4 linked regions of the Notamacropus eugenii genome follow. The protein of the gene in region 3 interacts with the protein of the main gene of each other region in a pairwise test. Links are inferred from orthologs where the notes say so. Each region holds a gene or a part of one and is shown on either strand. Other genes may lie near its edges. The genes, in order: TMEM239, LDAF1, COQ8A and SH3GLB1.

Evidence for each region.
Region 1: the proteins of COQ8A (region 3) and TMEM239 interact in binary tests that used the Homo sapiens proteins (3 or more experiments, as listed by UniProt). The two-hybrid records come from large-scale screens. The link is inferred for Notamacropus eugenii from reciprocal best matches to the Homo sapiens genes COQ8A and TMEM239.
Region 2: the proteins of COQ8A (region 3) and LDAF1 interact in binary tests that used the Homo sapiens proteins (3 or more experiments, as listed by UniProt). The two-hybrid records come from large-scale screens. The link is inferred for Notamacropus eugenii from reciprocal best matches to the Homo sapiens genes COQ8A and LDAF1.
Region 4: the proteins of COQ8A (region 3) and SH3GLB1 interact in binary tests that used the Homo sapiens proteins (3 or more experiments, as listed by UniProt). The link is inferred for Notamacropus eugenii from reciprocal best matches to the Homo sapiens genes COQ8A and SH3GLB1.

Annotation. Positions count from the first base shown.
Region 1 is NC_092877.1:46,440,262-46,448,066, reverse strand, and holds the start of TMEM239 (transmembrane protein 239), read left to right. Parts: upstream 1-4,800; 5' UTR 4,801-4,912; intron 4,913-7,741; 5' UTR 7,742-7,754; coding exon 7,755-7,805. Other genes in the region: C6H20orf141 (uncharacterized protein C20orf141 homolog), read left to right, coding at 279-301, 3,166-3,399, 3,486-3,702.
Region 2 is NC_092874.1:397,978,491-397,985,422, reverse strand, and holds the start of LDAF1 (lipid droplet assembly factor 1), read left to right. Parts: upstream 1-3,929; 5' UTR 3,930-4,340; intron 4,341-4,440; exon of another isoform or gene 4,441-4,859; intron 4,860-5,368; exon of another isoform or gene 5,369-5,420; intron 5,421-6,255; 5' UTR 6,256-6,337; coding exon 6,338-6,433; intron 6,434-6,932. UniProt on the Homo sapiens protein: Plays an important role in the formation of lipid droplets (LD) which are storage organelles at the center of lipid and energy homeostasis. In association with BSCL2/seipin, defines the sites of LD formation in the endoplasmic reticulum.
Region 3 is NC_092873.1:409,108,964-409,115,943, reverse strand, and holds the start of COQ8A (atypical kinase COQ8A, mitochondrial), read left to right. Parts: upstream 1-3,974; 5' UTR 3,975-4,149; intron 4,150-4,786; exon of another isoform or gene 4,787-4,881; intron 4,882-6,980. UniProt on the Homo sapiens protein: Atypical kinase involved in the biosynthesis of coenzyme Q, also named ubiquinone, an essential lipid-soluble electron transporter for aerobic cellular respiration.
Region 4 is NC_092873.1:496,315,677-496,323,676, forward strand, and holds the start of SH3GLB1 (endophilin-B1), read left to right. Parts: upstream 1-4,983; 5' UTR 4,984-5,141; coding exon 5,142-5,204; intron 5,205-5,351; exon of another isoform or gene 5,352-5,503; intron 5,504-5,763; exon of another isoform or gene 5,764-5,936; intron 5,937-5,985; exon of another isoform or gene 5,986-6,282; intron 6,283-8,000. UniProt on the Homo sapiens protein: May be required for normal outer mitochondrial membrane dynamics. Required for coatomer-mediated retrograde transport in certain cells. May recruit other proteins to membranes with high curvature. May promote membrane fusion.

The sequences.
Region 1 (7,805 bases), on a different chromosome or scaffold from region 3:
CCCCTTATTCAGGTGAGCAATGAGTCCCATGCAATGGTCCTTAGAACCAATGGTTACAAATGGAGCAAAAGGGATCAGGGAAATCTTTCTCTATACTTCCCCCTCTCTCCCACTACCCAGGGTTGGGCATCATTGCAGACCAAGCTAGTCCAAAGAGAGTTTGGTCACAGCTATTATGTGTATATGGGGCGGGGTTGGGGGGAAGATGACCTCTGCAGTAGCCCCTACTCCACAGGTCATAATGCCTTCCCTCTCCCCTAGCAGTTTATGTCCCCAGAATGGCAGGCCCGATAGGGAGGAGGTGAGGAGTGGGGAGGTTGGGGAGGGAGAAAAGGAACACAGGACTCCATAGTAATGACCATGTTCCATCAGAACTGGCCCAGAACGCTCTTTGCTCTCTGTACTTGGCAAGGAGCTCATCTGATGTCTCTAGGGCTGCCGGCAAACCAGGCCCCAGCTGTCTTGAGTTCATTGTCCTCTTCCTCATAACTTTAGGTCCTACCTTAACTGGGTTTTGACAATGACACTTCTGTCCCCCACTTCCTCCCCAGGGTTCTTATCTCCTCATCTCTGGTTAGCTCCTTCAGGACATCCTATTTCCTCCTATATTCCAAACTCCTTCTATCCCTGACTCTCCCCAGAAATGCTCCCCACAAGGTCTCTTAACTCTTTCTTGGGTCGCCAATTTCCCATTTCTCTCTCCCTCATCCCTGTGCCTCTATTCCTGTCTCCTAACCCTGTCTCCTCCATCTCCACCTCTCTACCCCTGCCTCCTCAGTCTCATTTGTCTATCTGTCTCTTCTCCAACCGTCTCCATAATTCCTTTCTCATCTGTCCCCCCCAGAATCATTTCTTTTATTATCTTCTCATCTCTGAGGCAGCCTACTATAATGGGCAAGACCCTGGACTTAAGCTTCAAAAGGACCTGATTCAAATCCTGCCTCAAACATTTACTAGTTGTATGACTTTGGGCAAATCATTATGCTTCATTTTCCTCATCTATAAAATAAGAGATTACACTCCATAACCTTTAAGGTTCCTTCTAACTATGAATCTATGATCTTCCCATCTCTGCCTTAATTTCCCCCTCATCCATTTCTCTTCCTCAAGTCACTATTTCTATCTCTACAATATCTGCATGATCCCCTCAGGCTTCTCAGCCACATTTTACATTATTATCTATCCCCCTCCTTCCAGATACCCTTTTCTCCCTTCTTTTCCGTGTTGCTGCTTTCTCCTGTCTTTTCTCCTTTCCCTCTGATCATTCCCTTGTCTCTGGCTTCATAAATAGAGGCTTACTATCTAGAACATGGGAGGCAAAAGCCCTTCCTGACAATGCCCTTGCCCATGATCATATCTGGAGTATTAGATTCAATTCTAAAGAACACATTTTGGGAAATGAGCCACTCACTGGCTCTACATCTTCCTTTCTCCTCTTACACTCAAGTCTTCCCCAGGATCCGGGGATCCCCTTAGCCCTCTTCTTTCTCTGTCTCTTCCTAGACATTTTCATCTACTTCTCTGGCTCCATTATTGTCATCTCTTCATAGATAACATGCATTTGTGCAGATGATACCCATATCTATAGTCATCCTTGAGAGCTCCCTTGAGCTCTAGTCCCGCTGGCAGAGACATTACTAGCAATTTTTGCCTTGAGAAAGTGTTATGAAATAGTATCAAATAAACTTTCTAAGACAAATTTGGTTATCAGGTGACAGATCTAGGATACTAAGAAGTTGTTGCTGAGGAGACCACTGCCTGAAGGGAAGGCTCATCTGAGATACAATAAGACCTAGTAAACTGGAGAAAGGGACCACCTGGTAACTTACTATTTTAAATCATGATTCTTACTAACAAGATACTAAGTACCATTGTTTCTATGCTCCTGAATGAATATAAACGCTGTCAGTGCCCTCTAAATATTGGCACCCTGGAGCAGAACTTCAGTCACCCTGCCCTAGTTACATATCTCTTCCTGTTGGACATCTTCCACAAAGTTGTTCTTGTAGCAAATCAAACTCAACCTTAACTCTAACGTTTTCCTCAAACCCTGCCCCAGCTCATTCCTCTCTAAGTGCACCATTGTTATCCAAGCAGTGTCAGAAAATGCGTGGAAAGGCATGATGGTGGCCTATCAGGAGAAGTCAAGCTCTTGTCCACAAATCCTCCATACGGACCTAGAAAATTCACCTCATTGAATCCTAAGGGAGAAACGTCTTTGGCTATAGTAGCTGTTCCCTCCAACTTACACCCCCTTGCCCCAGTTCTATTTCCTTCCTGCAAGACCCAACTCATGGGGCCTACCTAATCTCTTCTCCCTCATCCCTAGGAAAATGATTTCTTCCTCATCAAATTTCTCGTGTCACTTTGCCTGGACCTCTTAGGTCTTATCTACTCCTCCTTTAGACCATGGTTACTTGTATATATTTCCTATCTCCCCATTAGATTGTTATCTTCTTGGACCCATGATGAAAAATGTTCTCCACTCCCAGAGAGAGATCTGATGAATTCCAAGTGCAGACTGAAACATACTTTTTTTCACTTTCTTTGTGTTTCTTGCTTTTCTTTTTTTCAACATGGTTAATATGGAAACAGATTTGGCGCGATTTCACATGTATAATTGATGCCATATTGCTTGCCTTCTTAATGGGTGGAGAAGAAACAAGAGAGAGGGAGAGAATTTGAAACTACAATTATTTTTAAATAAATGTTAAAAATAATTTTTAGAAAAGATTATATGCTTCCTGAGGGCAGGGCACATGTCTTATCACCAGTGCTTCATGCAGCACTTTGTATATAGTGGGTGCTCTATCAGTATTTTTCTGTTAGATTGATTTGTTTCCTGTTTTCTCTCTCCTCCACTTCTCTTTCTCTTCGTCTGCATTCCTATCCCTATTCCCTCATTTTGGCCTGTTCCATTCCAAAGATCATGGCTTCCTGATAGGAACAAAAGAAGCAAAATAAGAACTGAGGAGTTCTTCTTCTCCTCTGTTGTCTGTTATTGCCTCTTTCTTTCTATGAATGTCTGACTTGTTCACCTCAGAATTTTCCCTAGTTCTTTGCTCCTGAATTTTCAACTTCCTAACATCTTTAAAAAAATAAAAAGGAATTCTTTTGTGTTCATCTTGCCTTACCCATCCCTATCTCTTATTTCTATTTCCCCAGGATCCCTGTCATTACAGATCGAATGGGCCGGGGCCTAGAAGCTGGCGAGGGTCCTGAGCTTTTGGAGGGCCATGGTATGCCTTTGAGGAGTTCACTCACACTCTTGGATGGGGCCCTGGGCGCCGGTATACTTGGACTTGGTGCTCGCCTTGTCCTGGCCCTGGCTGGACCAGGCATAGCTTTCCTGCTGCTGTTACTAATGATGAGTTTCCTGACTTTTGACCTAATGCATGGGTAAGCACACTGGATTCCTGGGTCTCTCTGCCCCAGAGAGGGTCTCTTTGGCCTAAGTCTCACCTTAGGTTCTCCTTTCCTTGTAGGACTCCGGAGTTGCCTTTGCCTCAAAGACCAATGTTTAGACCCCTTGGCCCAGGAGCAGGGGGCGAAGGCTCCAGCTTGCAAGAACCACTGCTCCCACCTGCCTTGAGCCAAGTCCTGGATGGATTCCTGCTCTTCACCCTTCTAGGGCTTATTTTTGGGGCCCTGATGCCCATCAGTATCTTCAGCCTTGTAGTCAGCCTAAAGGCTCTGGCCTGAAGCAAAGCCTCCGCTCTCCAGGAATCAGCAGGCTAAAAGATTCTCTTCACAGAAAATACATGAGGATTGCCCCAGCCTCTGCCTCTGAATTTCCTTTCTGGTTGTCTCTAGGCTAGGATGAGTGGTCTGGAAAGAAGACCCTAAATTATTCCAGGTCCCAGGGTTTGAAAAACCAATATAGAAGACTCTTAAGTCAGAGTAGACCCTATTCTACTCAGTAGCCTAAACCTTGGACCCTTAGATAAGTGTCTAACACCAATAGTGCTGTAAGGAGCCTATCTGATCCTTTCAGCCACACAATCAGAATCTTAGAATCTGTAGCTCAAAAGGGCCTTTAGAGATCATTTGATTCAATCCTCTCATTTTGTAAGGGAGCAAAGAAAGACCCAGGAAGGCAAAGAGGTCTATTCACCAGGACACAGGGAAAAAGTAGCAAAATTCCATGAATTTTAAGGGTCTAAGAGTTTGGGGTCATGGGTCATGGGGCAGAAGGTATAGCCCCCAATAACTTAAATCCTAGCAGAAGAATAGGAGGTTAGGGAGAACAGGGAGATGCAGAGGCCTGAGACAGCGCCGGCCTTGGTTTATGATCTCTGAGGAGGGAGGGTGTGGAAAGAGAATTCTATGGCAGGTTCAGGTTCAGCCTGCTGACTATATCAAGAAGGATGTAGGTCAGACCTTGGGCAGGCTTTTCAGCCAGGAGGCATTTAGAAACCAGGGAGTAGGGGAGACAGGGAAGAGGAGGCGAAATTCTTTTCCTTGGAGAACACAAAATCACAGAGCAAGTAAGGAGCATATTCATCTAGTCCAAACCTTTCATTTTACTAAGGGAGAAACTAAAGCTAGATCTTGGCTCAGAAAACCCCTTCTGTCTGGAGGTTCCTGACAGTTTGTGCCTTTGGTGGGCAAAAGACTCAAACTCTTTTTTTTTTTTTTAAAGATACTTTGTTTTGTTTTGCCAAAGAATGTTGGTTCCTGGACCCTAAATAAGGAAAGAGAAAAAAGACAAGGCCTAGAGCCTGGACTCCGGAGTCCAATGGGCTGGGTTCTCTTTGGCACTGTCCTACCCCTCCCCCAAAGCCCGGGTCACAATGAGGCCCCAGGGGTAGGGTGGAGATGGGGAGGCCGGGAGCCAGGTTGCAAGGATTCCTTCCCAGCTCTGTATAGGGAGCTGGCGGTGGCGACATGACCAAGGCTGCTGTGCTGGGAGGTAAGCCTAGCCCCACAATGGCTCTGGTGTATTTCTCCCTTTCCATTCCCTCTATGGTCTATCCCCTCTCCTCTCTCTTCACTCTTTTCTCCTTTTCTCTTTTCTGCCTCCTCCCTTGTCCTCTGTCTTGTGTCTTCCTGTCCCTTGCCTTGTTTTGCCATTGTCCCTTCCCGTCTAGACGAGAGGAATGCTGTAAGTATACAGATATATTTAGACTCCAGCAAAGTATTTGACAGTCTCTTATGGGACCCCTGGGGCCAACACAGAAAGAAGCTGCTAGGTGATAAAACTGGTGGATTCGGCAGGGGGAACCTTTGGTCATTCAGCAGTCCTTGTGGACTTGGGTTTCTATCTCCAGCCAAGTGCCCCAGGGATCTGTGCTATTTAACATTTTTATCAAATCTGATGATGTGTGAAGCTCAGAGAGATAGCTAACCTTGGGTGAGAAGGTCAGGACACACAGGACTCTAGGCAGTCCTAAGTGTGGGCCCAGATCTAAGCACACGGAATTTAATAAGAATAAACATAAAGTTCTACACATTAGGTTCGACACATCAGTTTCTTTAGTATAGGACAGGGGAGTAACGGCTAGATAGCTAACGTTCCATTGAATCCATCCTCATCAATGTGGATTGTCCCATGTTGGGACCCCATTAGGATCCATTCTCATCCATGTGTATGGATCACAAGTCATCCATGCATGCCTATCATAAAGAAAGGCTTCTTAAAATCAGGGCTATCCAGATGTGATGGTGAGTTCTAATCTGAAGTCTTCACGCAAAGGTTGAATGGATGGCCACTTGTCAGCCATGTTGTAGAGAGAATATTGTTCAGTACAGGTTGGAAGAGACACCCCCAAAGCCCCTTCTCACTCTTATATCCTATGATTCTGTCCCCTTCCCAACCCCATCTTCTATCTGTCAGGTTTACACTTCTTTTCTCTTGGTGGTTTCCTTTCTTCTCCCCTCTCTTGTTCACTCCCCTGATACCCATCTCTGCTATCCTCTCCTGGACCCACTTCCCTAGTTCTCAACCCTCCTGACTCCTCCCTTTCCTTTCTATGTCTTTGGTCCCTTCTTTGGTGCACTCTCCTACCTCCCATCTCTTCCCTTGTCTCCTTCCTTATTCTCTTCTGTCTCAACTTCTGTAATGAAATGCTGCTTTCTTAGAGTAGTTTAATCAGTTTCTAGGAACCCAAAACCCCACGATCCCTGGAGGAACAGCTAGTGGGTGGTTTATCCTGAGTCCTTGGGTTTTCCCTACATTTTGGCCTTTCAAGGAACAAAGCCCAATCAGAGTCTGACAAGTCATCAAGGAAAGAAGTATCAGAGCAAACCTATATTGAGAGGTAAAGGCAATGGCTAGACATTACATCCAGTCTACACTTGCTACCTCTCCCTAGCCTCTGTCTGTGAAATCCTTTTCTTTCATCTGCTTTCCCAGTCATCTGGGGCCTGGTTCCAAGTTTCTGCCAATACTTTAAGGATCTGTAGCTACTTTCTCTGCTGATATAGCTGATACAGACTGCAACCCAGACCTTAATAGACAGTCCCTTTAGACTGCTGTGTTCCCAAACATTCAAGCCCTGGCCAACCTTCTCAGGTGATGAGCCTCTCCACGGTTTGCTAGAGAGGGTTTGCTTTCTTCTTCTCTAGTCTTCCAGAGTCCTGGTTCACCTCCCTGATGGGACATTGGAGGAAAACTTCTGAACTCTCAACTAACCCCAGCAGCAACAGGGATGTAGGGTGGTTGCTCTAGGTTAGAAGTCTACAAAAGATGAAAAATCTCAGCCTTCAGCCTTGGTTTCTCAGGCTTCATTGACTCCTGCCTCAGAGGAAGAACCAGGGAACCTTTGCCCTGGAGCCCCAAAGCTTTTACTTTTCCCTCCTTTCCTCTTGCTTGATTCTCCCTAAGCTCTCTGATCCTCCTCTGTACACACAGACACACACACACACTCACAACACTACAGATTACACTTTAGATTTGCCTCCAAGTCTCTCCACTGACCAAATGTTTCTAAAGGTCCCCAAGTTAGAGATCTTGAACTTAGGGCTGGGTGGTTGGAGACAAGTAAGGTTCCAAGAAAGACCTGGGGATTTCTCATTCCCTGACCTCTAATGCCAACTGTTTCCAGGTGAGGATCCTGAGACCAGGTCATGTACAGGCCCTTTTTCCAAGCTTCCAGCCAGGGGCCAAATCATGACCTTTTCTTCACACCTGGGCTTGGCCACTAGCAGCTCTGCCCCAAGAGGTCCCAGCTCCCTCAGCCTCCTCTACCCTGGTGTGTCCAAGAAACTAATGAAACTTCTCCTCCCTCCTACTCCTCCAAGAAAGCAAGATTCCCCCCAGGGCATTTCATTACCAGAAAGTTCTTTCCCCTTTCCCTTTCCTATCTTCTCCTTTCTCTCTCTTCTCCTTCTTCCTGAACCTCACTACTTTGGGATCACTTCCTGTCACTCCCTGGATACTTTGGGACCATAAACCTCTCCCTAGAGGGTGCTTTAGGATCATTCCTTATGGCTTAGAATCAACCCCTTCCAGTCCCTTATTCCCCGAAGGCTTTAGAATCAAGCCCGCTCAAATTTAGAGACTCAGCTGTCACTCAGCTCTCCCTCAAGTTCTTTCAGACATGCCTCTTTCTTTACCATTCCCTTCCGGTAGGTGCTTTGAGATCCTCCCCAGGTACCTTGGCCTCATAACCTGCCCCTCTTGCTTTCATTCAGTTCCCTGATCTTTGGGAATCTGCTTCGCATAGATGCCTTCCGAACGCCGGTCTTCCTCACTAGGTGCTTGGGGGTCACAGCCCTTCCCATTACCACTCCCCCGCAGGTGCACCGGATCGATGCAGCGGGCCAGAACCGAGGGGTCAACGGACCAGGCGGGGGCGGGAGAA
Region 2 (6,932 bases), on a different chromosome or scaffold from region 3:
CTAGGAAATAAGAAATACAGGTAAAGGGGTATAGAAAGTTCTCTGGCCCTACAGGACAAAAGAGAAGATGGGGACAAGGGAAGGGAGGGATGATAGAAGAGAGGGCAGATTGGTGATAGGAGCAATTAGAATGCTCGGTGTTTTGGGGTGGGGGGAGGGGACAAAGGGGGAGAAAATTTGGAACCCAAAATTTTGTGAAAATGAATGTTAAAAGTTAAATAAATAAATAAATAAATTTTAAAAAATAAAGGGAAAATTAAAAAAATTAGCTATTAAAAAAAAAGTTTGGAGGTGACAGTGACTGGGGAGGGGATGGTTTGGAAACAATGAAGGGATTCTATAATTCAAATTGATCTCACTATCTACAAGCCACTGAGATAATGCCCAATTGTTTCCTTGGGAAGGATGGGGGAAGTGGAGGGAATATTTATACTCAAGGGTTTAGTTCCCAGCTCTTTTGTAGGTCCACCAATAAAAAATAGTTTTTCAACTTTCTATTTTGGTCCCATAGTATAAATTACGTTAGCTTTTGTCTTAGTGATACTTGAAGATGCCAGAGGACACCAGAGTTGTGAGCAGATGAGGAAGAGGAGAAGGCAGGCAGTTTTATCCTAACTTGATATCATCTACAAAAGAGGGGTAGGGAAGGGTAATAGTTAAAGAGTTTGCCACTCAAAGTTATTGTGAGGATTAAATGAGATAATTATGCAAATGTACTATGTGTCAGTTATTCTTATGAATGTTAATTAAAGTGATCCTACAGAAGAGAATAAATTAGACTGTGGGTTTGGCCCCTCAGGGAAATACAGAGAGGCAGCTTAAGGTTCAGTTTCTGGAAGAGTTTCCTAGAAGGATCCAAAAATGACTGTCTTGGGAAGTCATAGGACCATGGGAATTATTGATTTAACTATGGAAGGCACTTCAGAGATCATCTTTTCCAGGGTTCTTAACCTGGGGTTGGTGAATTTGCTTTTTTGTATGTAACTGTTTTTCAATATAATTAGTTTCTTTGTAATCTTTTTAAAAATTTATGCATTTAAAACATGAGGTACACAGGCTTCACTGGACTGTCAAAAGGCTCCATGACACTAAAAGGGTTAAGAACCCCTGATCTAGTCCAACCTGAAAATGGTGGCCCAGGGAGATTAAGTGATTTGCTTATAGTTACACAAGTGAGCAGAAGGAATATCTGAACCAAAGTCCTGCGTCTCCAGAGTTGGGGCTCTTTTTGTTATACCACACTTCCTCCAATGGCCATTTATTGAGCATCCAGTTCAGGGGATTTTTTTGGGGGGACAAAGTTGGACAAGATGATTGCTGAGCTCCCCTTCAGCCAATGGTGTATTGGCAAATGTTTAATAACTGGCTCTCAAAAAAAGAAAAAGTGTGTAGGACACACTTTTAAGGTTAATCTTAACATTAGCACTTTTCTCTGTTACTTTCTTAAGTTTCAAATGACAATCAACAAAACAATAAATTGATCCCTGATGTGTAGCATTTGCTGATTTTTGAGGGGGCAAAGGCTCATGATAGAGTGATGGGACTCGACCCCTAAAAAGGAAAAGACCATGTCTTTGAAAACAACCCAGTCCCTGAATTTTCCTATATATTTCAATAGGCCAGATCACTGGCTCCTCTGCCCAAAGTATAGGTCCCCCAGCACACCTAGATCACTTAATTAGTTTACTTAACTGTCCTTTCACTATCTCTCAGGGCCCACCCCAGAATACCTAATATTCCTTTCACATTTGCTGACTGGCCCAACCCAGACCACTTACCACTCCTTAATTCCATCCAGATCCTTTAACTGCCTTTTTTGTATAAAAATCACTAGTCTTACCTCCATGAAGTTGCAGTTTCTAAGAATCTTGCCTGCTCCCATTACCTTACTATCAACATTGTTTTTTGACTGGAAGAACATTTGAGTGTGTGAATTCATTCCAGGTGGATGCCACCTTGCTGCCTGACATTTCACACTAGAATTTTAACGATCTGCTCTCATGTTATAGCTGGCTCCAGTACAACCTTGCTTCTAGCTTTAGAGCTATGATTTTGTGATATATAACATTAATAGTTAATAAGTGTGGCCTCTACTTCTCCTGTAATCAGTATATCCAGGGCCTTGAGTGTATCACTGACCTTCTCTGTCTTCACAAAAATTTAGGCAGAGAAACTAGAGCACAGCATATCTTGGCTTTAGATAAATCTTATCACTTTTCTTTGGAGATAACCCCTTTTACTCAGATTAGGCTTCAGAATCTTGGTACTTTCATCGAAAGCACCACACTTGTCCAGTGTGATTCAACACTTAAAGTAAGGTGTGAGTAAGATAATCATCCTTTTGGTCCCAGTGTACCTTCTATCTTACATTCTAAGGTGTTGGTGGTAGGAGAGAAGCAAAATACTAAAGGGAGAAGGGGAGAGAGAAAGTACTGATATCGTGGCCAATTTTAGAATTCTTTGTAAAGAATCTTTCCTCCCCAGGAGGGAACTGGAATGGGCCTATCCCTAAAATGGAAATCTGTCCCCACAAATTTCACACACACACACACATACACACACACACATACACACACACACACACACACACACACACACACACACACACACACACACACACACACACACACACACACACACACCCTTTCTCCAACTAAGTCACGGTCATAGGGACAAAGTCCAGGAGAATCAGAAGTATAGGAGAGAGGGAAATTATAACAGAAAGAAAACTTTCTTAAATATTCTTGATTCTTATTATATTCTTAATAATACATTAATTATATTATTCTTAAATAAAATTATATATGAAATAAATATGAATATTTATTTACATGCACATAAATAAAATATTTAATATTTTTAAAGATAACTTAAGTTCTATTACCACCAAATATCAAATAAGGTTTGTAAAGCACTCAGACTTCATGATCTCGATTTGTCCTTATGACAATGTAGGGGTGAAAGTGTTATTATTATTTCACAGACAAGAAATTGAAACTTAGAGAGGTTAAGGGACTGGCCCAATGTCACATGGCTAATAGGTGGTGGAACTCAGATCTCCTGGCTCTTAGGTCTAGTGTTCAATCTATGAAAGGACGTCGTTTCTCACTAAACCACACTGAACTCATCTGCTCATATATAGAGAAGCAGGGGGATGTTGTGGAAAGAGTTTAGGATCTGGAGAAGCAGTGTGGTGTCAAAATGACGGGGTGCTGGACCTAAAGTTTAAATCCTTTATTCCATATCGATGCTTTGTGGATCCATGGTCAAGACACAAGGGTCCCAGTTAACAATCGTCTCCTACCCATGTCTGTCTTTCAGGTGACCCCTTCTTATCTTTCCAGTCTTCTTACACATACTCTGATCCAAGTGCTGTATTCAGTAACATTGGCCTCTTGGCTGTTCCTCAACCATCATGACTGATTAATCTTCAGACTCCGAGCGCTTTCACTAGCTGTCTGCCCTACCTGGAACGCTCGCCTCCTTATCTCTCCTGCCTAGTTTTCCAGGTTTCGTTCAACTCTCACCTAAAATCCCGCTTTCTGAAATAAGCGTTTTCCAGCCCTTCCTCTTAGTGCCTTCTCTCCGAGATTGCCTGCAGTTTACTCTGTCTTTACCTTGTTTGTGTCTACTTTCCCCCATTGGACAGTAGTAGGTTCCTTGAAAGCAGGGACTGACTGTCTTTTGACTTTCTTTGTATCCCCAGAATAGGTGCGGAAAGAGCATCTCAAGGCTCATATTTCTCCCATTAGAGATGACTTCCTTTAGGGTCCTCCTCTGCCCTCCCAAGAAACCAAGTTCTACTCATAGGAAGATGTTAGTGAGTTGTTTGGTTCTCTGGGTTCGCTCCCAGAGCCCAGCGGGGAGGGGCTCAATAAAGACGCCGCAGAATCCCTGCCTGTCCGGCCCTGGACCGTCCCAGCCCCGCTGCTCCGCCGGCTCTCGCTGTCTCCAAACCTCTCCGGCTTCTCCTTGCGCTCTCCGCCACCGCGCTGCGCCCCGACTCCGGCTGCCCACAGCTCCTGCTAACTGACAGCTCCAGGCTCGGCTGGAACTCCTCTGCTGGCCGGACTGGAGAAGACCCTGGGGGAAGGGGCGGTGCCGGCGGCGGGAGGAGGATCGGGCGGGGAAGGGGCCGGAGAGAAGCCGAGGCCGGCTGTCACCCAGCTCCCGCCCCTTCCGTGCGTCTGCTTTGGCTCGGGCTTCTCCTCCTCCTCCTTTACTGTCTCCCCGCCTCCTGTCGCGCGCCACCGGGGGCCCTCGGTTCTCTGCTCCGCTGGCCGAAGCGGGTGGGCAGCGGGGTCTCGGACAGCTGGAGCTGCGGAGGGAATCCGGATCAGGTGAGAACCCCGGCTATCTGATCCCGGCAGGGAGGGAACCCGCGGAGCTGCGAAGCGCTGGGTGTCTCCACCCCTCTTCCCCACCCCCAGATCCAAACAAAACACACTTTGTGTTTAGGGAAAGGGTGACTGCGCCCTCAACCCCTTCTCTCTCCCTACGACCCTAAAGGGAGCCTAGGATCTTTCCACTCCCCAACTTTCGGGGCTCCCTGGGAAGGGAGAGGCCTGAGCTAGGTCTGAGGTTTGAGGCGGAGAAAATAATGGTATTTGAGGATCCAACAAGGAAGAAGTACAGCAGGCAGCCCTGGTTCTCCTTTCTCAGTTGGAAAGATCCCATTCCTACTCCAGTCCAGTCTCAGCCCTGAGCTCTGGATTAGAACGTTGTTGGGGTGACAGTTTGGACCCCCAGTAGATAGAGTGGGGGAGAGAAGGAGGCAGTGTTTACTTTCGGGCTCAGGAGTGAGAGTAGGATGTCAGCTTCCCTCCTTGAACTTATGAAATGTGTCAAGAGACAAATTGGTAAGGCCTTGTATTCTCCCTGTGGGGGCTGGGTGGTTGTTGCCTGAGGTACCTGCCGATTCCTTCTTTTTGGATAAAATGGCCTAGCCAGACCTTCTTAACCTGGAGTTCATGAAATTTTTATCCTATACATGCATGTATATAACACACTTGTATGTAGCATATGCACATATGCCTGTGTTGCATGTATATATTTCTATGTTATCTACAAATATATAAACGTGTATATATGAAACTATTTCACTATGTTTCCTTTGTGATCCTATGTATTTTACTTTATGCATTTAAGAACATTCTTCTGAGAAGGAGTCTATAAGCTTTATTAGATTACCAAAGGGGTCCTTGACACACAAAAAGGTTAAAAATAACCGTATAGATATCAAAGGTTGAGTAATAAGGGACCCTAGAAACAGGAGTTGGTGTTGATACAAATGGGTGTTGGGACAAATGAGCTTGGTGACAGATGGGGGGAGGAAAGCTTCATTGATGTAATCTTTCCGATTTCTCAGCTCCTGAAGAAAGTGGCCTGGGGAGGACAAGGCTGCCTATAACAGAAATGAGGTACACAGAATCAATAGAATGCCCCTAAACCTGGATCTATTGTTGAAGAATTGTTTTAAGCAGACCTGAGTTGAAAATCTAGACTTGATGCGTTAAGATCCGTTAGAAGGGAATATTTGCTTTATATAATGTTTTTTGCTGTATTTTTCATTTACTGTACCAAATGTCTCTAGTACTTATGGAATGTAATTTTATTTGTAGAAATGCACTTTATATGACAGGAATTCAGTAAATACTTGTTGATCAGTAGCTCTTAGGAGTTTATTTACTTTGTAATGTTAGATACAACCACTACCAAATCTGGCTTTTTGATATGAAAGGGCTTTAGGAATCAAATAAATCTTGAATAAGCTTGGGAACTGCTCAAGTAGAAAAGGTCTTGAGATAAGATCATTTTCTGGTCGATATTACAAACTAAGCAGGTGACTTGGAGATAGGAAGAAAGAGGATGAACATGGTTATAGCCTCAGTTCACCTTTATACCATTTGGGTTTGAAGTCAATTCATTTCTTAATGGATATGTATTGAATACCTACTGTGAGGCTAGCATAGTACTGTGGGCACAATCAGTTTTTAGAGATATTGAGAAGACTGAGTACATAGAGCAATTAGAACCTAAATTCAAGACAATATAAATACAGTTCTCAAGTATGTGGTATGTATCGTAAATAGTAGGGGGAGTCTAGAAAGGTCTAGAAAGAAAGATCAATTTCACTGGGAATTGTCAGGTTCTTCATGGAGGAAAGTAGATTATGCTCAGCAGCTACAGTACGTTGATCTAATTTGTTACAGACCCTTAATTGATTAAGAATTACCTTTTTTCCCTTGCTTCCAGCAAGAAGTAAACAGAGACATGTGAAATACAAAGTTGGGTTATTTTGTTTGCCTGAAGAAACTTCAGCAGGTAGGAAAGAAGTATGGTGAAAATGGAGGCTTCCTCTATATCCAGAGATTTGCAGGAGCTGCAGAAGATGTTGACTTCCTTGATCACTTTCATCCAGAGTAACTCCGAGGTGAGTGTGAATTATCTGCAGGCTGCTTAGAGCTAGAACATGACCCTTTATCATGGGATTTAGAATAGGAAGGAATGTTTATACATCATCTAAACCACTGGTTCCCAATGTTTTTTTGTTCCATGTTGTTTCAACAACCACAACAAAAGTTTGTTGTAAACTCCTCCAGGATAATTTTAATATGCTACTCATAATATTCTATAATTATTTACTATCTCAGAAGGCATTAAAGAATTTTTAGTATGAACTTGTTGGACCATAGACTCAAACCACCAGTGGGGTTTGCAAACCACTAAATGAGAACCACTGATCTCATCCAACCCCATCACTTTACAAATGAGGAAATTTAATCCCAGAGAAGTAGCAAATATAGTACCAGATTTGAACCCAAGTTCTCTCATTTCAAATCTAATGTTCTTGAAACTATGTGGCTTGTAAATTTTTTTTTCTTATTTTATAGGGTAAGTCTTTGTAAATAAGTCAGCACCTTTCAAATGAG
Region 3 (6,980 bases):
TTTGAACAGCCTGGCTTCACTTAAATCCAGTTCACCTGCAAGTCAAGACATCACTTCCACTGAAGTCACTGGTCCTTTTTGGGAACAGAATAAAGGGCAAACAACAAGACACAGAGGAGAGACTGTATCCAGGAGGAGAAGGTGGTCAAATGGAGTCAAATGGAGAAGAAAGGTCAAGAAAGATGAGGACTGAGGAAAAAAAATCAACTTTGTCAACGAAGAGAATTTTGGGAAGATTGGAGACAGCAGTTTCCAAAACAGTCTGAGGTTGAAAGCCAGGTTGATAAGGGTTAATAAGGAAGAGAGAGGAGAGGGAAGGAAATGCTGGCAGTGAGTATAAATAACTGATAAGTAAATATCTAAAGTTTGAATGAGAAAGAGAAGAGAAATAAATGACAATAACTAGAGGGCCTAATGAAAGTTTTTTTAAGGGAAGACTAAGGCATGTTTAAAGTTAGTAGAAAAGAAACCAAGAGGAGCAGTAGGGAGAGCGTGAGGATTAGAGAATGAGAGGGGATGATTGGTTGTTCTCATATAGATTTTATATAGATCAAAAAGTAGACATGTGGCTCAGTTGTTATTAATGCTCTCTCAGTTACCTTTTGAGGGTCTATTTTCATTTATTTAGTTAGTTTTACTATTCTTTTGTATCCCTAGCACTTAGCACAGTGCATGACACTTAGTGTTTCTTGATTGTTTGCCTGCTACTTCTTTAAATATCTTTGGTTTAAATGAGTTGTGACCTCTGGCTGACTACAAGGAAAACAAATACATTTGTGGGGGCTTATGAGCTATCATTTTGTATGGATATGGACCTACACAGTGTCTTGGAGCTGGGGTAGCTATTCTGGATGTTGTATCTGGGAAAGGGCGATGCCCCTGGTGCCAGGCTATTTCCATCATCAGTGACAGAGGAACATTTGGTCCTTGGAACCTTGATATCTGATGGGTTACTCAGAAGTAGAGACGGCCCTTAGGAAGAATACTTGAATCAAACATAGTACATGCCAAAGAAGTTGGTGCTGGAACTGATGAAATCCTAAAAGCAAGAAAGACTACTTTACCAGACTGCTCAGCAACTGAATGTTCCAGACAAATTGGGCTAATCTTTGTCTCCTCGTTCTGTTTGCTTCTGTCTCTATCCAGGTCTTGATTTTACCATTCATAACCTTGTGTACAAGTCATTTAAACTTTCTGAACCTCAGTTTCCTCATCCATAAAATGTTTTGTGCTATTCCACAGGTGTGTCATGCAGAAAGCTTTTTGTAAACTGGATTGCCATTTATTCGTTCAATATGAGCTATCAGAACATTGGACTTGGCAATCCAAAGAACTTGGGTTTGAATGCCAGTTCTGATAAAATGAGCTGGCTGTGAATTCTGAAGAAAAAACAGAAAACAGAGCTTGTTCATGGGTTATGCTGAGATGTTCCCAGGTTCAGACCACTAAATTATTACTTTTGTGCTTATCATTTCCCATCGTACTGGGGATTACTCTTATGTTATTAGGTTTGGCAGTCCATCAAGTCCCAGCCTGGGTTGGACTTTCCTCAGGGCTTAGTCAGTGGATGGCTGAGTAGGCTATACCCTTAGCCCTCAAAGATGTGATCTGTTTATGTTGGGTTTTCAAAATTCAATATTCCAGAAGGGGGTTGCTCTTGGAGGAAATGAACCATCTTTTTGTGCATTGGCCCTGGTGCCTGCTAAATTCTGAAACTGGTGCTGCCTGCTCGGTCTGTCTACATCTAGATTTGCTTATCACACACTCAAAACAAAAATGAAAATGGTGTTAGTTCCTCACTCTTCAGATTTTATAGTATGCATAACACTAGAGCTGGAAGAATAACTACTGAAGTCCTCTAGTCAAACTCCCTCATTTATAAAGAGGAAATGACAATGCAAAAAAGCTAACCAGAATTAAGATCATAGGATCACAGTATTCAGAGGCAGTTACATGGCTGGATACTGGATAAAGTACAAAGCTGCCTGACCTGGAGTCAGAAAGATCTGAGTTCAAATCCTGCCTCACATATTAGCTGACCAAGTCTCTTCACCTCTCTCAGACTCAGTTTCCTATCTGTAAAATGAGGATAATAGCACCCTCTAGAGTTATTGTGAGGACAAAATAAAAATATTTGTAAAGTACCTTTGCAAACTTTAAAGTGCTTATATAAGTGCCAATTATTATTATTACTATCTTCATTATTGTTTAGAGCTTAAAGGGACCTTAGAGGTGAAGATGACATCACCCGTTAATGGCAGAACTAGCACTGAAACCTAAGTCTTTTTAATGTGAGTGTTCCTCCAATGACATTATGAAGAAGACAGAAATGGCACAATCCTGACCACTGAACCAACTTTTGGAGATGTTCAGGAGCTTAAAAAAAGATCCTGTGTATATAGTAATAATAACTCACTTGTTACTAACCTTTCAAGATTTGCAAAGCCTAACTCCTGGTTTCTCTGGCTTTTTTCAAATCTCAGCTAAAATCTTTTATAGAAATTTTGCCTTTTATTTTCCTGATCCCCCTTAATGGTAGTACCTTCTCTCTGCTGATTACTTCCTATTTGTCTTGTATAAAGCCTGCTTTGTATTTATTTTTGGCATTTTGTCTCCTCCATTATATTGTGAACTCCTTGCAGTAGAAACTGTCTTTTGTCTTTCTTCGTATCCTAGGCACTTGGTTCAACGCCTGTCACTTAGAAGGCAGCAGATAATGCTTACTGACTCACTGACAGCTACCAAGTGAGGCAGATCCATCTACGCCTGCTATCTCTCCTCCTGGGGGTGAGTCCCTGCCCAGCTAGCCCTCTAAAAGTAGTTAACTTGAAAGGTTTCCAGCTAGTGGGCAGGACCTTCCAGGGATTGTACAAGAGAATTTCAATGACACCGATATTTGTGTGAGGTCTAGAATCCAGGGTCACCTCTACACCACGGTAACTCAATGAGGTAGGCCTTTGGTGGAGTGTAACCACCGCACATGCGTTTGTTACTTAAACACATTGAGAACACAATTCACACACACTCTTTCAGGCGTTTTCGGATGTGCCTAATGCCAGCCTCTTAATAGTCATCGCCCTCCACCAGTTAATGAGGGGGCACTGGGAGAGAAGCAGTAGTCACTCTCAATTCAGGTTGGTGGGTGGGGTGGAGCACCTGTGAACCCCAGGGCTCCTCCTAGGACGCAGCCCCCTCAGTCTGAAGCAGGTCACTCTCCCCACGTCACACCGCTACTCGGGCCGGTGTCCCTTCATCCCTGACGGGCCCGGAGTCCTTACAGACCTGCTTACTTGGTGCAGGCGACGGAGTTCTGAGGCTGAGCAAGGGAAGGGGATAGAGGAAGTCAACAGCGAACAAGGAGGCTGTTTATTCCTCCCCTCTGCTGCCATCTGAAATGCTCTCCCTCCCCTTCTCCTTGGGGCAGCTAGGGGATAAAGTGGACGGAACAAGCGGCTTGGAAACAGGAAGACATCTTCAGGAGTTCACATCTGGCCGCGTAACCCTCTTTGTCTCAGTTTCCTCCTCTGTAAAATGGTCCGGGGCACCCCACAGGGGGTCCTGAAAACAGCCACAACCCCCTCGGCTCCATCTTCTGGCCTGCGAAGGGTCGCTTCCAGGGGCAGGGGCCACGTGCCCGACACTGAATGGATACACGCATCCTGTCCTCCCCATCCCGGCCCGCTGGGCCGTCACTCCGGGCTTGGAACAGCCTGTTTCCAAGGGAAGAGTCTTGGGCCAAGGCCCTTCGCATCACTTTTTGTGCTTTGATGTTTAGGAAGAACGACCCCATCGGGGGTCAAACAGCACCCACAAGATGAGGAGAGGGAATGAGACCCAAGGCTGGTAGGACAAGCGGCGGCCGGCTGTTCGCGGCTCTCACACGGGCCAGCCAACAGTTAACGAGCACCTCCGGGCCGGGCGCTGGACGAGGCGCCCGCACACGAGCAAGGGCCCAGGACGGCTCCCGCCCCGAAGGGGGGCGCCATCTAACAAGGAGGACCACGTGGAAACAACTGCGCGCAGAGGGGCGAGCTGGAGAGAGCGTGACGGGCCCTCAGGAAGGGCTTCGTGCACCGGGCGGCCTCTGAGCTGGGGCTGGAGGAAGGCGCGGGGGCGGCCCCGGAGAAGCAGCCACGAGTGGAGCAGAACGTAAGGCTGAAAGGCTGGGGGCCGCGGAGGGAGGGCAGGGTTGGACTGCAGGCTGGGGGGTACGCTGAATGCGGTGGGGGATGGGGAGGAGAGAAAGGGCGGGCAGTGGAGAGAGGCCCAGCTGCGGCTCCCCGGGAGTGGCCCGAGTCTTTTTCATTTCCCCCCCCTTGCCTGAGGCCAGGCCCTGAGGGGGGTCTGGCGACCATGGCCGCTAGCACCATTTCCCGCGGGGACGAGCAAGCCACAGGCCTTAGGCAGAGTGAGAAATGCCCCGCCCCCCAGCCCTTGCACCAAGCAAACGGCCTACCCAGATTTACAGACCGAAGAGGGAGCAGGGAGGTGGGAGGAGCAATGAGCGTGGGGGAGGGGCTGGGAGCGGCCCAAGAAGAGCTGCCTCCCATTGGTCTAGCGTCTCTCCGTTCTCGCTCCCGATTGGCCCAGGCGTCAGGAGCCCCGGCGCGGCGCACGGTTCGCGACTCAGGGCTCGAAGGGGTCCTCTAAGCTCCGGCTTGTAAGGCTGCCCGGGCCCACGTTCCGAAGGAGGAAGCGGCGCAACCAATCGGAGCGACCGCGGGGGGCGGTGCTTAGGCCGCCCCAGGGCCTCGCGCGGCGCGGCTGGAGAGTTGGTAAACATACCTCGAGCGCGTGCCGGACCGCAGCGCTGAGCGGGAGGTGCGCGGCTGCAGGAGGCGGAGGCGGAGGCGGGCTGCTGACCCACCTCCCCAATCCCAGGTAAGGCGGCAGCCCCACGCACTTGCTGCATGCATGGAGAGCCCCCGCCGCAGCCTCCGCGCCCTCCCGCCCCCTCGGACCTCAGCACCCGGCGGTCCCTGTGGATCCCGTCCGCCGGAGCGGAGCGCGGCCGGCAGGGTCCGGGCTCCGAGCCCCAGCCCTGGAGCGCGCTGCCGCCCCAGCCGGTGGGCGAGCCCCGGCGCGGCTCGTTCCTGCCCCGCACCCCTGTTTGCCTTTTCCGAGTCCTGATTCTTGAGCGCGCTGGCCCCGGGCCCAAGGGCTAGTTCTGACCTTCAGTGCCTGCAGAGAGGTGAAGCCCAGCCCGGGTGGGGTTAGCCCGGGAGGACGGGGCGCTTCGGGGGGAAGAGGTGTCCGCGCGGCTGCGGGAGCTGCCCTCCACGCGCCAGCCGTGCCCACGCCTCATCCACGCCTCCACGCCCAACTTTGCCGGCCATTGGGCAGAGTCCCGTGCCGCCCTGCCCGGACGCCTGGCGGTTGGCACTCCTCGCCCTTGGAGGTTTAGGTGTAGACTTAGGCTGGCCTTGTGTTGCCTTTGGCCCATCCTCTGCCAGGTCCCAGGATGTGGGATTGGGAGAATCCTGGCCCTGAGGCTTGAGAGTTGTGTGAAGTCTGGGCAGAATGCGGAGCCTCTTAGCCTGGGCAGTGGAAATGCTTGACCTGCCTGCCCACGGGGTCTAGTGGGGAAACCATGCCTCGAGGGCTTTCTAAATAGGTGTTCCTGAACGCTTGTTTGTTTTTTGGAGGCCTTGCTCTATCCACTGGGATACCCAGCTGCCCCCTAAATTCGTGATTGAAGCACTGGCAAAGGGTGACTGTCAGGGCTTCTTTCTGGCCAGAGGACTTGAAAATGCCAAGCTGCTGGTTGTCATGCTGTAAAAGGACAGGCTGAGCTGGCAGGGGCTTGAAAGACTGACTCGGAGTGTGGCAGGAATGTCCCTTTGGAGACAAATCACTCCTTATGGGTTGAACCAAGAGCCTGGAACACTTAAGCTAAGTCTTAAGAAATGAGGGGAAAAATGAACAGTAGACAGTTATTTTTACTATTGACATAACCTTCCTTGTGTATCCTGCAAGAGAAGTGAGAAGGTTGGCTGTCTTTGCACCCACTTAGGATCATAGATTATAGATGGAAGGGATTTCATCTACTCCAGTGCTGCTTAATCTTTTCTTGGGTGTCATGGATCTCTTGGGCAGTCTGGTGAAGCCTATAGATCAACTTTCTCAGACTATGATTTTAGATATTTAACATTTTAAATGTTTAAAATAAATTTCATAGCGAAAAAAGGAAACCAATTACGTCTAAATAGTTATCAGATTTTTTTTTTTAAAGTTCATGGAACTCAGGTTAGCTACCCCTATTGTAGTCCATTTTTCTTACCTTACAAAAGAGGAAGCTTAGCTCCAGAGGATTTAATTGACTTGGCTGTGGTACACAAGTAGTAAGTGGAGGAGCTGGGATTTGAATCCAGGTACCCTGATTCCCCAATCCACTGCTCTTTCTTCTGTCATGCTATTCTACTTTACAATCCTTTTTATTTCTTTTTTATTAAGTAAATGTTTTATTGATGCTCTTTTTAGAAATAAATTTATTTAGTTTTAAACATTCACTTTTATAAGATTTTGAGTTCTAAATTTCCTACCCTCCTATTTCCCCAAGACAGCAAGCAATTTGATACAAGCTATACATGTACAGTCATATTAAACATATTTCCATATTACTCATGTTGTGAAAGAAAAATCAGAACAGAAGGGAAAAACTGCAAGAAAGAAAAAAACAGAGAGAGAAAAAGTATGCTTTGATCTGCATTCATACTCCATACTTTTTTCTCTGGATGTGGATAGCATTTTCCATCATGAGTCTTTTGGAATTGTCTTAGATCATTGCATTGGTGAGAAGACCTATCTATCAAAGCTGGTCATCCAACAGAATTGCTGTTACTGTGTACAATGTTCTGGTTCTGCTGTCTTCATTAAGTTCATGTAAATCTTCAGGTTTTTCTGAAATCTGCCTGCTCATCATTTCTTAGTGCATAGTAGTATTCCATTAGATTCACATACCACAACTTGTTCAACCATTC
Region 4 (8,000 bases), about 87 Mb from region 3:
CAGAATCTTCACCAAAGCAAAGCAATTCTTTTATTCCTCCCTAATTAATTTACTCATCCTCGGCTGTCTCCAGTCATCCTGATGAATATCTGGTCACTGGATTCAGATGACTCTGGAGGAGAAGTGAGGCTGGTGACTTGCACAGCCCTCCCTCACTCAAAACAAAGTCAAGTGCAAGTCATGTCATTATTTCTCTGATGGTATGGTCTTTTTCAAAAAAGGACAAACACAACCAACAATTGATATAATGTCACTCTACTCAGAAGTTTTCTTCCCTCTCAGCTGAAGAACCTGCCTCTAACGTTCCTGAGGCTATTTACCATGTGTTCCTCCTTTACCCCTTCTCTTCATTTCAAAGCCTCTTGACATCATCTCCCACTCTCTCTTCTTTAACCACCTTCTCTAACAATAATGTGGCCTTTCTTCTTACCTAGGCCAAGACCTGTACATGTATTGATCCTGTCTTTTCCTGTCCCCAACACACTGTTCCCTCAATGAACTCCCTCTCTCAAATCTCCAACTTCTCTCTAGCTACAGTTTCTTCCCTATAACCTTTAAGGATGGCCAAGTCTCCCCCATTCTCAAAACAAAACAAAAAATCCTTCATTAGACATTACCTCAAGCTGTCATTCAACAGCTCTCCTCTCTTTTTCAGCCAAACTCTTATAAAAAGCTTCCTGTACTTGTTGCTTCCTTTTTCTTTCTTCTCACTCTTCAACCCTTTACAATCTGGCATCTGACCTCATCACTCAACTGAAATAGCTCTCTGCAAAATTACCAATAATCTCTTAACTGCAAAATCTGATAGTCTTTCCTTAGTCCTCATCCCATTCAACCTTGGCAATAGTGACCATCCTCTTCTCCTGTGTACTCTGAAATTTTTTGACATGACTGTCTTCTGGTTCTCCCCTACCTGTCAACTCCTTGTCCATATCCTTTGCAGGGTCACCATTCATACTACACCTCTAAACTGTGGTGTTCCCCAAGGTTCTATCCTAGATTATTCACTCCTGTAGAGCAATACACACAATGATTACACAATATAAAGGCAAAACTAAAAGGCAACAGAAAGGTCAAATACAACATATAGCATAGGTACCAAGCTGTTAATACTAAAGCACAGATCCTTCCTTTCGTTAATAATCAGTAACCTACAAAAGTGAAAAGTACTCCTCAGGGAGTGTATTTTGTGGGAGGGTTCATTTGGGAGTTTTTTAGGAAGTATCTGTTACATCAAAATAAAATTAATAAAAAAAATTTAGTTAGTTGCCACAATCAACTAAATGACCTACCAGTAGTTACCCTGTATCTCACTAATGCAATGAGATATAACAGGATTTTTTCATCATTTGTAGTTGCGTGGAGGGGAGAGAAAATGTGATTCTGTAAGCAGGAAAATACTCTAAGGATTGTATAGTGGGTAGGGAAAACCAAATTACTCTTCAGTGATAAAACTGGTTGCTATAAGGGAAATGTGACAGGAGAGTGAGATGGGTCTCTTTGTCCTGCACACAAATATTTGTCCTTCTAGTGTAATTTGTACTGTTAAAGCATCTCCTTTGGGCTTACTCCCAAGTCTCACTCTCATTGGCAGGCTGTGTGCCCAGAGGGCAGCTGACTACTACTCCTCTCAAGATTCTAGGGGGTAACTCTGCCAGGTTTTTTTGGGGGGAGGGAATGTTATATTACTATCACTACATTGATGTGTTCCCAAATATTAACTTGATGATGTCAACTCATTTTTTACAAAGGGACATATACTAATGTGTTATATAATGTAACATCTACTTTAGAGGGAGGAAGAATGGTATGGATCTGTAGAGAATTCAGGTATTTTAAGGTTTTTATTCATCTCCTGAGGCAAAGAAGTATTGTGCAATTTGAGAATTGGGGGGGGGGGGGAAGGAGAGATGCAGCAGGGCACCTGAAAAAGGAGAAAGAACATGGAGAGAAGAGGGAGGTTGTGGGACGTTTCTCTTGTTTTTATGGAGTAGCTGAGCTACTTGGCTAGAAGCAATGGTATCTACAGTTACCCTCCTCAAATCCATGCTTCTGGGGAGCCTAGAGAGATGAAGCCCAGAGGAGGCATGGTATAAGACTGTGTTTTCTTGTGGGTATAAGCCAGGTATAAGACTGTGTTTTCTTGTGGGCACTTGCTAAAGTGTTTGGAATGCTGAGGAAGAATAAGGAGGAACTGGCAGTTCTTGCTCCTTTTCCACCTTAGCTGGGTGCAACTTGAACCTGTTTCGAAGAATGACCTTTTATTCCATTAAAGGCTGCATGTGACTGATCTAATCTAATATCTCTCAACACCTGTAGTTGACCCTGGCCCTCATATTTCTTTGTGTACCTTTGTTTGTAATTTGAAGGCACAGGACAAGCATGGAAGTCATCAGGGGAGAAACCTTTTCTAGATACTAACCCTCAGTCCATGGTCCAGAGGGCAGCAGACCAATGGAAAGAGTGTCTTGAATTAGAGATAACTGAGTCTGAATTTTCACTGTCGCTTAAACTCCCTGGGTCTGAATTTCTTCATGGGTACAAAGATGGAATTTGAATTTGACAGTCTCTAAGATCTCTTCCAATTTTAGTTCTCTTAACTTTTATCATTCTCCCTAAAGTGTAATAGTCTTATCTCCTGACTGTATGTGGCAAATATGTGATATGAGCAGAAATTTCCCCCAAATCTCCTACTTATTAAAAATGTGCTTTATAAATCCAGCTACCTGACTGTCCATGCCTGTTTCCAACTACTTGAAGCTCATTCTTGCATCTTTCTCTGTATCACAAGGCTCCTGACCTTCACTTATCCTGATGTGCTTCTGTGCCTGTGTGTCTCAACATAGCTTAAACAGTCAGCCATTATCCACAGGGCTCAGTTACCAGCATGTATTACAAGATAGAACATTCAGTCAAAACTACTACAAAGAAATGCAATAGGATAAAATGTAAAGTATTCCATTTGGTCTCCAAAGCAAACAGACAAACAAACAAGTAGAAGGTAAGGGAAGCCTGGCCAGGTAGTACAAGCCATCTCTGAGATTGGAGTTTAAAAAAAGGAAGAAATAGCTGCCATCTTGACAAGACTTTAAGCTTCGTGAACTCCTTTTCATACATAATGCCATTTGAGCCTCACAATAACCTCCTGGGATGGTTACTTTGAATACCAATTTTAAGGGTAAGGAAACTGCAGTTCAATGATTTGCTCCTAGTCAAATAACCAGCAAGTTCTGGAGGGTGAAGTTTAGGGTTTTAGGATGCATTGAGAGGCTATTCTTTGCCCTGATCAGACTATCTCTGGGTCAGTTAGGGATGCCACATTTTAAGTACAATGATAAGCTGGAGAACCTCTGGAGACAGGGAGATGGGGAAAGTGAAAGGCCCAAGTTCATGCCACATAAGGATCAATGAAAAGAACTGGAAGTGATTAGCCTGGAGCAGAGAAGACTGGAGGGGCACACGACAGTCCTGTCTTTAAATACTTAGACTCCTTGTGCCCTGGATGGCAGAACTGGATGGAATGGACTGAAGTCATCAAGGGCTGATGTAGGATAAATTGACAGAAAATTTTAATAACTATTACACATGATCCAAAGCAGAATGTGCTCCCTAGGGAGGCAATCTGTTCTCCTTCTCTGGAAGTCTTCAAACAAAGGCTGGATGGCCGCTTGTTCCTGGGGACTCTTCCTTTCCCTTTGTACGCATTCTGACTTGGGCACTCTTCAATTATAATTGGGTCCAACTATCGTATTTCCATGCAGATGGCCACGCTCTGTTTGTCTCCAAACCACCAGTCCTGCATCTCCAACTGCCTGCTGGTCTCTCGATGCCCCGCTGGCATCTCAAGTTCCACATGTCCATAACAGAACTCCCCCATTTCTGTTGGGCACCGCCATCCTTCCAAGGACCCAGGTTCAAACCCTTGGCCGTTTTTGGCCGCTCTTCCCTCGCTCCGACCACATTCAGACACAAGTCCCAACAACTGGAACCCCCCCTTGCCTCCCACACCTTCTTCACCCACGCCTCCTCTCACGCACATTAGCCCAGGCCCTCGCGGGCACCGCGTGCCCCGCTGCCATCACTCTCCAGTTGTTCTCCTCGACCCCGTCTCTCGGCCCTTTCCCTTTGCCATTGGCTCATCATTTCCCCGGAGCCCCCCCACTCCACGTGTCTCCGTGTCACTCCCCGTGGGGCTCCTGGCCTAGCTGGCCTCGCGTCTCTCTGGTCAGTCATCTATGGGAGTGTGTCTCGTGGCGCCCCCTTGGTGGGACTCACGCCACCCCACCGCGCCCTCCCCCAAGCCGTGGCCTCCCACCCCCGGGGGAGCTGGGCGTGCGGGCATCGTTCACCCCCAGCCCTCTCTAACCAGAGCCACGTCCCTCCTCTGCTTCCCCGCCCCCTCAAGCACCGCCCCTTCCTCGCCTTCTCCCCATCCCAGGTTAGGCCCCGCCCCCAATCTTAGCTCCTCCTCTCCCCTCTCCCAGGAGAGGCCAGACCCGCTCCTTCCCTGATCGCCCCTCCTCCTCTCCCAGTCCTTATCCTCTCTTTCCCCTCCCCTTCTCTCTCCCTTAGAGAGCTAGGACCCACCCTCTCCTTCCGCCCCGCCCCCTCCCAGTCTCTCTTCAGTCTGTCCCTCCCTCTTTCCTCACTTCCCCTCCTCTCCCTTCCCCACCTCCCCAAGCTAGGCCCCACCCCTGTTCGAAGCTCCTCCCTCGCCTTTCGCTCCCCTCCCCTTCCCTCCTTTTCATCCCCTAGGCGAGCTAAGCCCCGCCCCCTCCTCTCCTCCCCTCCTCTTCTCCTCTCTCCCCGCTCACATCCCTCTCTTCCGTCATCCCTCCTTTACCTTCGTTTTCTCCTCCTTAGCGCGCTAGACCCCGCCCCCGGCCGCTCCTTCCGCCTTCTCTCTCGCCCCTCCCCGCCTCCCCAAGCTAGGCCCCGCCCTCCCCCTCTCCCCCACCCTCCCCTCCCCTGGCTGCTGTCCTCTCTTCTCCCGGGCCGGGCCCCGCCCCCGTCTCCCGGCTCCTCTCCCTGCTCCCTGTGAGGCGGCAGCGGCGGCTCCGCCCGGCTCCGGCTGCGGCTCCGGCTCCGGCTCCGGCTGCGGGCCCCGGTCCCGGCCCCGACCCCGGCCCGGCGGAAGCATCATGGACTTCAGCGTGAAGAAGCTGGCGGCGGACGCGGGCACCTTTCTCAGCCGCGCGGTGCAGGTAGCGCGCGGGCCGGGCCGGGGCGGGCGGGAGGGAGGCCGAGGCCCGCGGCCCGTTCCCCGAGGCCCCGCCTCCCGCCGCTGACAGCCGGGCCGAGCCAGGCCGGGGGCGGGTCGGTAACGGAAGGAACCGTGGCCTCGCCCTCTTCCTCTCCCCGCGGGCCGCGAGACCCGGGAAGAGCGAGGCCCGAGCCGGGACCTGACCTCCTGACCTCCCCCGGCCCCCACCGGGCCCCAGGGCACTGGGAGGCGCCCGAAACGCGCAGCTCCAGCCGCGCCCTGGGTCCGGAGCCCCACGGGGTGAGGACCCCGGGCCCGGCCCGCGGCGTCCCCAGCCGGTCACTTCCCCGGGAGCCGAGCTCGGGGCGCCCCGGGGCTGGCTCCGCGGCCCGCCCCAGCCTCCCCCGGGAACTCCCCCGGGACGGAGCCAGAGGCGCGTCAGGTCCGCGGCCGTGCTGGGCTCGGCCCGGCGCCCCCTCGGCCCGGCGCCCCTTCGCTCCGGCGCCCCCTCGGCCCGGCGCCCCCTCGGCCCGGCGCCCCTTCGCTCCGGCGCTCCCTCGCCGGCCTTCCCTTTGGCCCCAGTCCTAACTGGAGGTCCTCGAACTTTGGAAAGGATGCGTTTTCGGGCCGCTTCAGGATAGCTGGTTTCCTTTGTTACACCGCGTTTATTTTTCTGCCTCTTAACAAACGTTCTTCCCGAGGGGCTCCAGGACCTCCACCGAACTGCCCGCAGGTTGGGAGCCTGCTCTGGGTCCTGGGTTCTCCTCTGGGACCGTTGGTTAAGCAGGGAGTAGGCTAGGTGGGGTAGCCAGCCGGAGAGGTGTGGCCGGCCAGGGGAGTCGCCTCCCTGCTTTATCTGGGGGATAGAGGTGTAGCTGGCGGGGGCGAGCGGACCAACGCCCTCCTTTTGCCCGGGGGAAGCCGGCCCAGGGCCCCCTGCTGTGTAAGCGGCAGTCGGGATTCACCTGGAGAGCCTCGGCCTTGAAGGAGGGTAGAACTAAACGTTCTTGGAAACCATCTCACACCCACGTTTTAAAGATCTACCACGGTTTAAGAAAGGTGCACTTAAAAAACAAGAGGTACACTCGAGATTCCAAAGCCTACCAGGACTACTGTCGCAATTGCTCCCTTAAATACCTTAAAAAGAATTTTTATCGCTAAGATAACAAATTTATGTGTGACTCTTGACGATACCCTTAAACCGTAACGCTGAGTTTTAGTGAAAACATCTTCTTTTAAAAAATTAGCCACAGTTCAAAAGGTCATAATTTGAAATTGACTCTTTTTTGGTTGAGTAAATTTCTGTGTTCATCTTTACAACCAGAAGTGATTGAGAACTTGGAGTAAATTTAAATTTATGGTGATCATTTCTAATTCTACTTAGTGCTGTCCATTTTATAAATGAATGAACTTGTGTCATTGGTTATGTTTTGATCTCCTTTAATACCTATAAAAACATTTTCCTTCTTTAGGGTGGTGGATACTTGATAAATACAGTCTAGTTCTTCCAAGGTGTATTCTTACATTCCTAAAACAAGGTGCCAATAGGATTATTCATGCGTTTATGTTGTCTGATTTGTATTATTTAATTAGTCTTTCTGGGATTTGAATCTTATAGTTTCACTGAGAAATTTACATTAGGCCACTAAAATGTTGCCAATAACACTATTTCTGTTAAAAGCAGGAGACTTCTTCTGATCCAACTAATTTCAGTTGGAATTTTACTCATTGTTTCTATAAAGTTTACCTGATAAATAGGTCAGTGACAAGTCAAATTTATTCATTATTCAGATCAGCAAATGTTAACTAAGCATTTATTATGTGGTAATTATTGAAGATATAAAGGATAAAAAAGGTTTTGTCCTCAAGGAACTTTTTATTCTACTGGTTTGAAAGATGTGACAGGTACATAAATAATGATTATAGATAAGGTCTGGTATGGAACCATATTTTAGGATCAAAGAGTTGGGCTGGAATGCACAGTAGGGTGTCTTGGGCCTACCTCCTTATTTTACAGATCAGAAAGTGAAGGCCCAGCAGAGATTAAATGACTTACCCAAAGACATACAGGAAGTAAGTAGCAAAAGTTGAACTTGACCCTTTTCCTTGTAAGAATACATGGCCTTATCGTGCAAGAAAATTTAAGAAGAGAAGGAATACTTTTCCACTGGCGCAAGAATCAGGGAGAATTTCAGGCTGTATTTTGTGTATTAAAAAGGCTTGACTATTGGGATGTTCTCTTCAATAAATAAGAATTCCAGGTGCCTACCAGGTCAATTTGTACACTGGCCCAATTTCTAAGTGCCAAAAGCAGTCTTAATCTCTGTCTATATTTAATGTCTTCCTCCACATACTCAGTTCCAGTTGGAGTGACTGGGTCTGATATGTTTGTATAGAGTGGTAGCCTAAGGAGACACAACTGGAATTTACTATCCTAACTTCAGATGACAGACGGTAAAGTCTAGAAGTGTTGATAGTATGCTTTTAAAGAAGTGGTGATTAAAGAAAGTAGGGAAGAGAGCTTTTGTGAGCTTTATTTATACTCAAGTCTATCTTACCTTTCACTAATACCATTCTGTAACAATAACTTTGACTTACTTTTCAAGAATAATTTTTGAAGTATTATGCTAAATCAACGTAAACAAGTTAAATTTTTTTTTTTCACTTTTGCTGGATCCATTACCTTAAGAATAAAATTTACCACCTTTCAGAGTTAAGAGATCTTGGGACCATACTTCATGTGAGATTGAAAATACTGTGCCTGATTGTTTAGACAAAACAAGCACACTGCTTTGTG